3 separate regions of the Mus musculus genome follow, and all the other regions are reported to be linked to region 1. The links are microRNA targets in miRTarBase. Many come from high-throughput screens and were not tested one by one. Region 1 holds a microRNA gene; each other region holds the end of a gene's coding sequence. Distances are from middle to middle.

Region 1 (3,168 bases):
CTCTTTTGGTGACCAAAGCCACAGTAATGTGGTACTGAGGTAGAATGTGCCCCAGATCAAACACAGATTTATCTCCGGCTTCCCTTAAAAGTATGTTAATATCAATGTGCTATCTATTCCTGAGACTATATGCCAGCTTCCAAACAGAAGGCCTAGACCAACTTCTTAAAGATGCTAGGGACTAAACTTAATTCATTTGATCTACTAAACTGGTTGCAGATCTTTCTTCCCCCAGTTAACAAAAATACACTGTATTCACTTCTAAAAAGTCTGGTAAGGCTTAATTTTAAAAAACTAATGCTTTAACAAAAGTCTTTATACCTGGGTTGACAGCATGGTTTTATAAATCTGATTCAGGAGGGTGCTGTTAAAAAAAAACCTACATTACTAGCCAATTATGAAAAATTATCCCAGAGTGACAATTTTATGTAAAGGGCTATAAGCATCCAGATAAAAAATAACTGAGAGGTGTTCTGGTTTCAATTTGCTTCTCAGGACATCAGGATATGGCAAAGTTTAAGTATTCAATGAGAATATTATGATTTTTCTAAATGGAAATAAATTTTAAATCATTGTTTTTGTGCTTTGATATTAAATTCAACTTTCTAGCACTTAACTCATTAAAGAGCCAGAATCATGGCCTGGGGGAGTTTCAATCAAATTTTCAGTACAAATTAATTGGGAGCTTTGGACAGAGTAGCTATGTTTTTTTTTTTTTTAAAGACTTAATGTGTAGTTAATACCACAGACCCAATCTGTCATACTTAGAGGAGCTGCAGTCTCCTACTTTAGTGGGGTAAATTAAAAAATACAGCTGAGGGACTTAGCTATTCCTACCAGCACATCCTTAGATGTGACTTAGAACATGGATTCTTCAATCAAAGGCTTGAAATAGCTTTGCAGCTGCAGGATGCATCATAGTCGCTGGGAAGTCTTTCCAGCAAATTCTCCAACAGCCTCCCACTTCCAGCAAAATGGGCAAGGCAGCCATCTGGGGTAAGGCAACTGGGATGAAGGCTTAGAAGAAGCTTCCTGAGCAGCTGATTTGCCATTAGTTATTAAAACCTACTGGCTTGAAATAATTGTACTGCAGGTAGTTCATAGTTAGCTATGCAACTCCTATGGAAGGGGCCACCTGCTTTCTTCCTGAAAGTTCCCCAATCATGAACCCTGCCCCTCCACCACCCCCAATGCTGGCAAATCTCTGAACAGTTTTATAGAACTTTTTCACCGCCTACTGAAGGGTTGAAATAAACTATCAGTGGAAAGTAGAACTCCCTCTGCTACAAATACAACTGAAATTAGCCTGCTCCCCTTTAAGGGCCACATGACAGTGCAGTTAAGTAAGTTCCCTGCAGCAACTGACAGGAGGAGGGTCAGAGTCCACAGTTCCCTTGGAACCAAGAATAGTCTTCCCATTTAGTAACATCCCTCAGCCTAGAGCTCCAACCTTCTGTCTCTGCTAATCTTTCATCTTTAGAATTTCATTCCTGTCTTAATGACCTTCATTTTTAATGTCTGCATGCAGCAACCTACTTCCAATTCCTTATGATTGGCACAGCAAATTAACTTTCCAGGGACCACTTCTCATTGCCATAGAATTATGAATGAAAAATAGTAGATAAAACAGACATGATAGATTGAATGTAGCAAATTATTTATTAAAGCCAACGTTTAACAGTACTTAGTTTATAACAGTACTACATGTCAGAAATTGTAACTGAGAATATTTTACAACAATAAATTATAACAATTAAAACCCCCCACTAAGTGATCTCTAACCTTGGCAGCCACATACATACGAATTAAAGAAGTTAGGAAACTGTGATCTTCCTTTTCCACTCTGCCCACGTAGGAAGTGATAGGCTGATGCTGATGCTGACACCACAAGGTTCTGAGGCTGGTGCTCTTCCCCCTACATCATAACCGATTTCAAATGGTGCTAGACAAAAACAGACTCTGAACACCAGGAGAAATCGGTCAGCCTGTGTAAGAGATGGACCGACTGGTGGTGTTCTTCAGGTCTGAATCTCAAGGCAGGTGACAGTCTGATTTCAGCTGTGCTGCAACCAGGACTGAATGAGTGCTCCATGGATCTTCCAGGTTCAGACGAGCCATACTGATGTGAATGAAGCAGTCCTCCACATACAGAGCTCTTACCCCTTCCTTGCTACAATTAATGAACAGTGCAGGCCCAAGGAACCCTCTTCCACCCATGGAATGCTGAATAAAGTAGACCACTTCCTGATTATACCCTTATACATTCTGAACACAAAAACTTTCTCACTATCACTGCCTCTAAACCAAACAGACTCAAGAGCAAATGTCACTATTCAAGTCTTCCCTTGATTTCTCGAAGGAGAGAGCCAGTTCTGTGTACAGCTGTTCCTCTGTAGTCTACCCTCTGCTGTGCTGCAATTCTTACTCCTAAAACACTGATTTCAAATGGTGCTAGATACAAAGATGGAAAAATCTAAGCCACCATGTGAAACCAGCTTCCAGAAGAAGAGGATCTCACTGAAGAAAGCAGAGATGTGCAGTCAGAAGAACCAGCCTCAGCCCTGAGAATCATTTTGCCTGTCAGACGCAGATGACAGCCATACAGCCAACACTTTGAGCAGACAAAAACAATGCAAAGCTTGTTTCCTGTGTGACTTCACATTAGTCATTAGAAATCATCATACACAATGAAATAAAAGAACCAAATCCATTCAACATATGTACATTTGTAATGTCTTGAATTTATGTAATTTCCCAAGATGCATAGTGTCGGTAGATATGTCACTTGTTCAAGACAATGACAATGACCTATGAGATGTTAACAACTGAACCCAAGTAAGTCACCTGTGCCAGGACAACTCTTCCACAAGTATTATTCAAAAAGAGTATGTTCCTTCCTGCTCTCTATCCCATGACCCTGTAGGCTAGCAATTTGATTTAACCCCTAATGTCTTTTTAAAAGCTGGTATCTTAACACTGTATTATACAGATAACCCTCTAACACAAAACAAGGTATGTTTTAAAAATGTACCTAAAAATAAGATTCACAAGCTATGTTTCACATTGTACTGCATTTTTGCTGTATATTTCCTCTGATGTCACAACTGTCATCTTTGAAAGGAGACAAAGAGTAGAGCTGTATTTTTCAGGTTCCCCAGAAAAACTTTT
Region 2 (3,168 bases), not on the chromosome of region 1:
TGGCTCTGCTTTCCGCACTGCCCTCCACCAAATTCCCTCCCTTTCCTCTCCCTGAGGAGGAACAACCATAACCAGAAAAACACAGGGCCTGAACCCAATACCGTAACCACGGCGAAAGAGCACACTACCAGGGGAGAAAACTGCAAGGGAGGAGGCAGCAGGTCAGCACAGTAGGTCAGCAGTAGTGACAGCAGGGTTCCCAGTTTTGATCCGTGTCTGTGTCTACCTGCTGCTCCCTCTGTGCTCCGGGTAGGTGCTCCTTTTAAATCCCCTTCACTCTCCCCAAGGCCAGGCTGTAAGCACCGCACTGCAGGACTTCCCACACAGCCACAGAGCGGGCACTGCAGAGAGGCAGGACTAACTCAAGGATGGAGCGGTCCTATCTTGGAGGCTCGAACTGCTGCAGTATAGTACAGAAGCGCATCCCTGCTCTGTTTCAACCCAAACGGAAGCAAAGGAGACCGTGTGTTTAGAGGCATGGATATGACAAAGTTTTAATTTTAAAATCTGTTTTGACCAGCGTTAGCACCTGAAAGGGTGCCCCTACACTTGATGCCACCTCCAAAAGATTGTACATGATTATGCCGGGCTAGAATTAAGGCTAAAAGTCAAAAGTCAGGTCCCCAGTCCCCGTTAGAATCCCTGTGAAACTCCAGGCTGCAGCGACCCTGGGCTCGTTTCCCAGGGACCCTTGGAAATCTTTAAGTGCTACGGCATGTCGGAGGACACTGGCCTCAAGCTTGCTTCTCACATGGAGAGACTGACTACAGAGGTAGATGAGATTCCAGGTCCACCCAGCAGCAGAGAGGCAGGCTCTGTTGAGCGCCAGGGACAGGCCCCAGAGCAAAGCCCACTTGTATCGAAGCCAAGGTGAGGGGCAGACTTGAAGCACCACGTCCCTAAGACAGAAAGGACAACTGCTAGTCTATGCCTGTGACATTGGCTCCTCATCCAGCAGGGCCGCTCTGGTTCTCCATGCTGACTCCCACTGGTCCTTATGAAGGTGATATAGACCCACCCCATCGTGTCTCAACAGGACTGCTGACCATCAGCCACACAACATCTTCTCAAGTGACTCCAGTGCCTTCAGTGGTCTTGCCCACAGCTGCTCAGCAGCAGGAGTCCAGCCTGCCATTCGGGCTTGCTTCCCTGGCAATCAGCTCAGATGTCATGCCTTCTCAGAGCATTACAGGTCAAGCCACAGATTCATGGTCACACCAGCTTAAGAGAAGACACATGCTCATTTTTGTTTTAGGATATACAGAAATATGTGGCTCTCTAAAGTTAATGAATTTCTCTGAATTGTGTACAATGGTTTGGTATCTCTGAAAAAAGTATGAAAAAAATTCTTGTCCATCTTTAGCTTACAGATATGCATGAAACTGTGCTATTCTCCTGGGTGCATGTCAGGATGCAGCAGCCCTGGCAGCATGGTTATCAGGGGACAGAGAACTGAATGCCACCCCGAGAATCTTGGGTGTTTTTGGTGAATTCTATGCTGTAGGCTGCCTGACTCTTCCAGAGCCTGTGAAGAACTGAGGAGACATGAACACTCCTACAGTTAAGTCTGATTCAACACTGAGTTAGAGGAGGGACACCACTGAACACTGAGGTGTAGCTGTGAGAGCGTATGCAACAGGAAGAAAACTACAGCAGCGCTGCTGTGGTTAGTCTAACTGGCTACGCCAGGAGAGGTGTTCTATGGCGCTTGGGAGTGAGACGTGACAAGGTCAAGGGCAGCTGATCTTGGGTGGCCTTGGGCATCCAGATGGCATGAAAGGCAAATGCGCCGTGAGAACCCATACACAGGACTCCGTATCACCAGAGGAAAGACGGACACTAGCTTCCCACTTACATCAAACAAGTACAGTATCAGAAATACACGTTGGTTAAAACCCTGCTAACACAGCACGAACAGAAACACCTCACTGTCACTCCTACAAGTACACACTCCATTACAACTTTAGTTCTTAAAACAAACAGAAAAGTTACTAAAAACACCTATGCCATAGAGATGTATTCGAAAGTCTATACACCTGTTAGTCCAAGGGCATATTTCCCTGGACTCAGTGTGAGCACCATCAGAGGGCAGTGCCTGTGACTGCAACTCAGATACAAATAAAAACTCCACAGGACTTTCAGAGGCCTGGGACTAGCTCAGGATACACTTTAAGCATCTGTGCCAGACATGCTTGTCCTCCAGGGCCTTTTTTTTTTTTTTCCAGATAGCACCAAGTCACCTGGTTACACACAGTATGTTCTGCATTGCTGTACAGGGATGGAATACTCCCATCACAGGATACAGGACATTTAATTAAATGCTTCACAGAGCTTTAAAATAGTGTTAAAATGTTTTCTGCACTTTCATTTTTAAATTTGATATTCTTAACAACAATGACAACCTACTTTAGGACTGCATTCCTCCACCCTAAGAAATGTGCAGGGTAAGTGCTACACCTAACAGTTCTCTGCTTACTCTTGGCTGAAATTCATGAGAGCCACTGGACAGTGAGACCGAGTCCAGTGACAAGAGCTGCCTGCCTACAGCGGTTTTAGTTTCAGTGCAGACTGGCCTGTGCGCTGTGGCGAGAAGCGATCAGAGCAGGGTGCTGGGGAGGTTGCTGCTCTGCCAGCGCAGGCAGGTCGTTTTCGAGTGTTTATATAGGTGGCTGGACTGACTGAACCGTTTGCCACACTTGAGGCAGGCGTACGGCTTTTCTCCTGTGTGGACCCGGATGTGTTTCTTGCAATCCGTCAGAGTCAGGAAGGTTTTACAGCAGATTTTGCAGGCATACTTTCGAGCTCCCTCCACAACCAAGACATTGTGCTCCGATAAGGCCTTCTTGCACTTTGACAAGACATCAGCAGATGCCCTGGTCAACTGAGGAGGGCCAGGCTGGGAGGTGTGGCCATTTTCAAATGAGGTGGCCCCGTTCATCATTAGCTGGGAACTGGCTGAATTTTCAGAGATCTGCGAGCTCCTGACAGAAGTTACCACTGGCATTTTTGGAGCTATTCGTCGGTAATATGGAAAGTTACTGGCCCCTCCTCGTGGGGAACCCATCATGGCCCTGGAGAAGGATGAGTGGAGACCCAAGCCAGACCTGGAAAAATCCATCCCGAATTGTTCTCCTTGGTAGCCTGAGGTCTGCACACAGGGCAGGCCCA
Region 3 (3,168 bases), 140 Mb from region 1:
AAACCAATAGTCTGAGTCTAATCCGGACAGCCAGTGCTTCCTCAAGTAAATCTTTTGACTATGTAAATGGCGGTCAAGCAAGTACCAGCATTGGGGTTGGCACTGAGGGAGTTACTAATCTAGCAGCTACAAATGCTAATCGATATTCAACTATCAGTCTACAAGAAGACCGGCTAGGTCACGCTGGTGAAGGTAAAGAGCTCCTCAGCCCAGGAGCCCCCTTAACCAAGCAGTCTCGATCCCCAAGTTTCAATATGCAGCTAATATCCCAGGTGTAGTTCTGATGCCCCTTGTTCTGCTAACCTTCTACACTGAACATTTCATTGTGCAAGACACGTCATCCCGCATTGTGAAAAGATGTCACTGTCATCAGATTTGACTTAGCTTAGGTATCTCATACTGTATTTTGTATGGAAACAGCAATAAGGTTTTCCTTTCCTTTCTTTTAACCTCTCTACCTATTCCCTTAAATGTGTTTGTGAAGCAGTGTAAAACGTTTGCCTTTTCCATGCCTTCCTTTCTCCTTGGGTGATGTGCAATCCATCGTAGGCTGATCGGTCCCATTTCAACACTGTGAGACTGAGGAGATGTCGAGGAAATGGTGTATAAGATCCCTATGAAATGATTCTTTGGCTTTTGTTTAAAAACAAAACGGGTTTGTTCACATAATCTATGAACTATGAAGATAACTGGATCATATGTTTTCTCTCTAACCAGGAGTGCCTCAGAGATTCTGCTATGACTTTGGGCTTCTCTGAGCCTGTGCAATTTTATATTCTTGGGAAGCATGGGGGAAAGTGGTAGACTACTGCAATTTTTTTATTAAAATGAGGCTAACTGCCCCCCTTACTTTATCCCAAGGACACAAATGTTTAATTATTGAGGCATTTAAATCAATTTGTGACCACCTCCATTGGAGGGTAGGGCTCTAAGTTGATTGTGTGATTGATAATGCACTTTCTCAATGGCTCTCTAGTCATTAACAACAGGTCTTCCCTCCTCCCACAAGGACTTAAGGACATTTCTGCCCTTAAAGTTTGAACTAACAAATCAGAGACTCAAAGGGGCGTGTTCTATTTCCCAGGAATGATTGATATTATGGTGCTGGGGCTTTGTTGGGGGAAGGGTGTTGTTTGTTTAGTTTGTGTGAGATTGTAAATGAGGTGAAGTTATAATTGTTTTCTTTCTTCCTTTCCTTTGTGAGTTGGTGATGACTGAAGTAGACACTGTACGTCTTCAGGTAAAGAGAGGGATTTCTCAGTCCACTCTCTGAGATATCAGACTAGAGAAACCCTTTCAGCTGCTTCCTAGATGTACCTAGATTCAGTCAGATATGGGATACAGAAACCTAAAGTCCTGAGATCATATACTCCAAGGAAACACATCAGGGACAGGTGATTGGTTGAAAACACTGATGCTTCTATGTGACACATTTGTATAGAACATTTCTACCAGAGGGTACTGACTTGATTGCTCTACAAGGACCACACTGCCTTTGTGTTTATTGCAGTTTGTGTATCTTCTGATTATCTGCAAAGTTTCTCGTTTTTATAAAACGTTGAAATCATGCCAGTAAACTAGATGTTGAATGTAAATGAGTAGCATTTGGTAACTGCTAAGAGGCTACAAAAATGCATTATTAGTTTAAAGGATTTTTGTTGTGATTTGGTTGGATAAGACTTTCTTATAATCTCTTCTGGGTCTCAGGCTTTGTTTGAAAAAGAAGGGAATATATTAGGATTTTAAAAATCAGTATTGTGTGACTTCAATTGCTATGAATTACCCATCTCAAGAACATCAGTTACACACACCCTTGTACATGTAGACATTTTATGTATTGTGAATGAAAATTACACTGCCTATATAGGAAGCAAGTGTCCTCTTAATTGACAAAGTTGTTTTATCTCTATTTACCGTAAAATTTGATAAATTAAATAGCCAGGAAAACGCCTCTCTTTTTTTTTTCATACATAAACCACCATTTTTGGAGGAGTTGTCTATCTGTCCATCTGTCTGTCTGCATTGTGTTAGAATAATCCTTAATTAGATTTGATAGTTTATAACATTTTTCAGCTCCCAGCAAATAGGGAACTAGAACCTCAGCTATTATCCACATCATTGCCAAACTTTGGAGTAAAACTAAAAGCTGAAATGTGATCTATTGATTGTTTATAATATGCGTATGATATGTGTATCCATTTATCACAGACACATTTTAGCCCTATTTCTACTAATTTAACTAAGAGATATCAAGTAAACTTAAAAGAAAAAAGAATTGTAAAATAGTAAAATAAAATGTTTTTGTAACCTACTGAACAGAGAGGCTTTGTGGTGCATAAGGAAGGTATCAGTCTTAGATGGCAAAGCACGCCTACTTCATGCTGGAGCTCACAGGCGCACATGTAACAGACTGGCATTTAAACCAAGCATTTTAAATAAAGCACAAGAGAATACCAAATAACTTGAAAGTATAGCATAAACTGTTGTAAATATGAGAAAAAATCTTTTGATTAGAAACATCATAACTGAAGAGTTGGTTTAAGAATCAGGAATGGTGGCATACACCTTGAATCCCAGCACTCCAGAGGCAGAAGCAGGTGAATCTCTGAGTTCAAGGCTGGCCTGGTCTACAGATGGAGTTCTAGGACAGCCAGGGCTACACAGAGAAGGCCTGTCTCAGAAAAGAAAAAAAAAAAAAAAAAAAGGTTTTTTTCATCTTTTTGTTGGCATGTGTAGACTTTGTATATACATCCCAAGTAATATTTCACAATCCTGAAACATTTGCTTCATATTCTTTGGGCTATAATTTGGTCTCAATGAACAAGTTCTTCATTTACACTTTATAGCAAGGGTCTTAGAATACATTTTCTGTGTAAGATAACAGTTAAAATGAAATGAATTAAAATTAGACAAACTACCAAGTTTTCTAATGATCATTTCAACCACTTTATGTTACCATCATTGAATTTAAAATGGTTTTTGTTCAGTTATACAGCAGCTGTTAAAAATGTCATAGAAAGTTAGAAATGTCCATAATTTAACCTTTAATAACTTCCCTTTAATATTTCTCAGCTTTCATGAAGCTTCATCGCACTAGTAGAAAAAAAGCATTTAGGGGAAAATATTTGTCTTATATTGATGCCATCTGTACTAGGTTAGATTAAGGAC

What was found. Region 1 holds the annotated microRNA mmu-miR-29c-3p (UAGCACCAUUUGAAAUCGGUUA, at 1,924-1,945, opposite strand). A microRNA usually pairs through its seed, bases 2 to 8, with sites in the 3' UTR of a target mRNA and lowers its output. Matches are read on the target gene's strand: a 7mer-m8 pairs with bases 2 to 8, a 7mer-A1 pairs with bases 2 to 7 and ends in A, and an 8mer does both.
Region 2: miRTarBase lists Zbtb5 as a target of mmu-miR-29c-3p. Seed matches in the 3' UTR shown: 8mer at 2,227-2,234, 7mer-m8 at 2,075-2,081, 7mer-m8 at 888-894 and 7mer-A1 at 524-530.
Region 3: miRTarBase lists Fam126b as a target of mmu-miR-29c-3p. Seed matches in the 3' UTR shown: 7mer-m8 at 1,100-1,106.

The regions. Positions count from the first base shown.
Region 1 is chr1:195,036,377-195,039,544 of GRCm38, reverse strand. Mir29c (microRNA 29c) reads right to left here and starts at 1,998; the gene lies at 1,911-1,998. A330023F24Rik (RIKEN cDNA A330023F24 gene) reads right to left here. Exons shown (of 8, transcript NR_015566.2): 8 at 1,637-3,168. Mir29b-2 (microRNA 29b-2) reads right to left here and starts at 2,505; the gene lies at 2,425-2,505. It also overlaps a transcript of Cd46 not described here.
Region 2 is chr4:44,990,774-44,993,941 of GRCm38, forward strand. It overlaps Zbtb5 (zinc finger and BTB domain containing 5), which reads right to left. Exons shown (of 2, transcript NM_173399.3): 2 at 469-3,168. The coding sequence ends at 2,597. Among named protein-coding and RNA genes, the nearest start is that of Grhpr, 11 kb to the left of the region's middle.
Region 3 is chr1:58,526,768-58,529,935 of GRCm38, reverse strand. It overlaps Fam126b (family with sequence similarity 126, member B), which reads left to right. Exons shown (of 13, transcript NM_001310598.1): 13 at 1-3,168. The coding sequence ends at 278. The region is part of intron 2 of Gm15834 (a long non-coding RNA gene); the gene reads right to left. Among named protein-coding and RNA genes, the nearest start is that of Gm15834, 23 kb to the right of the region's middle.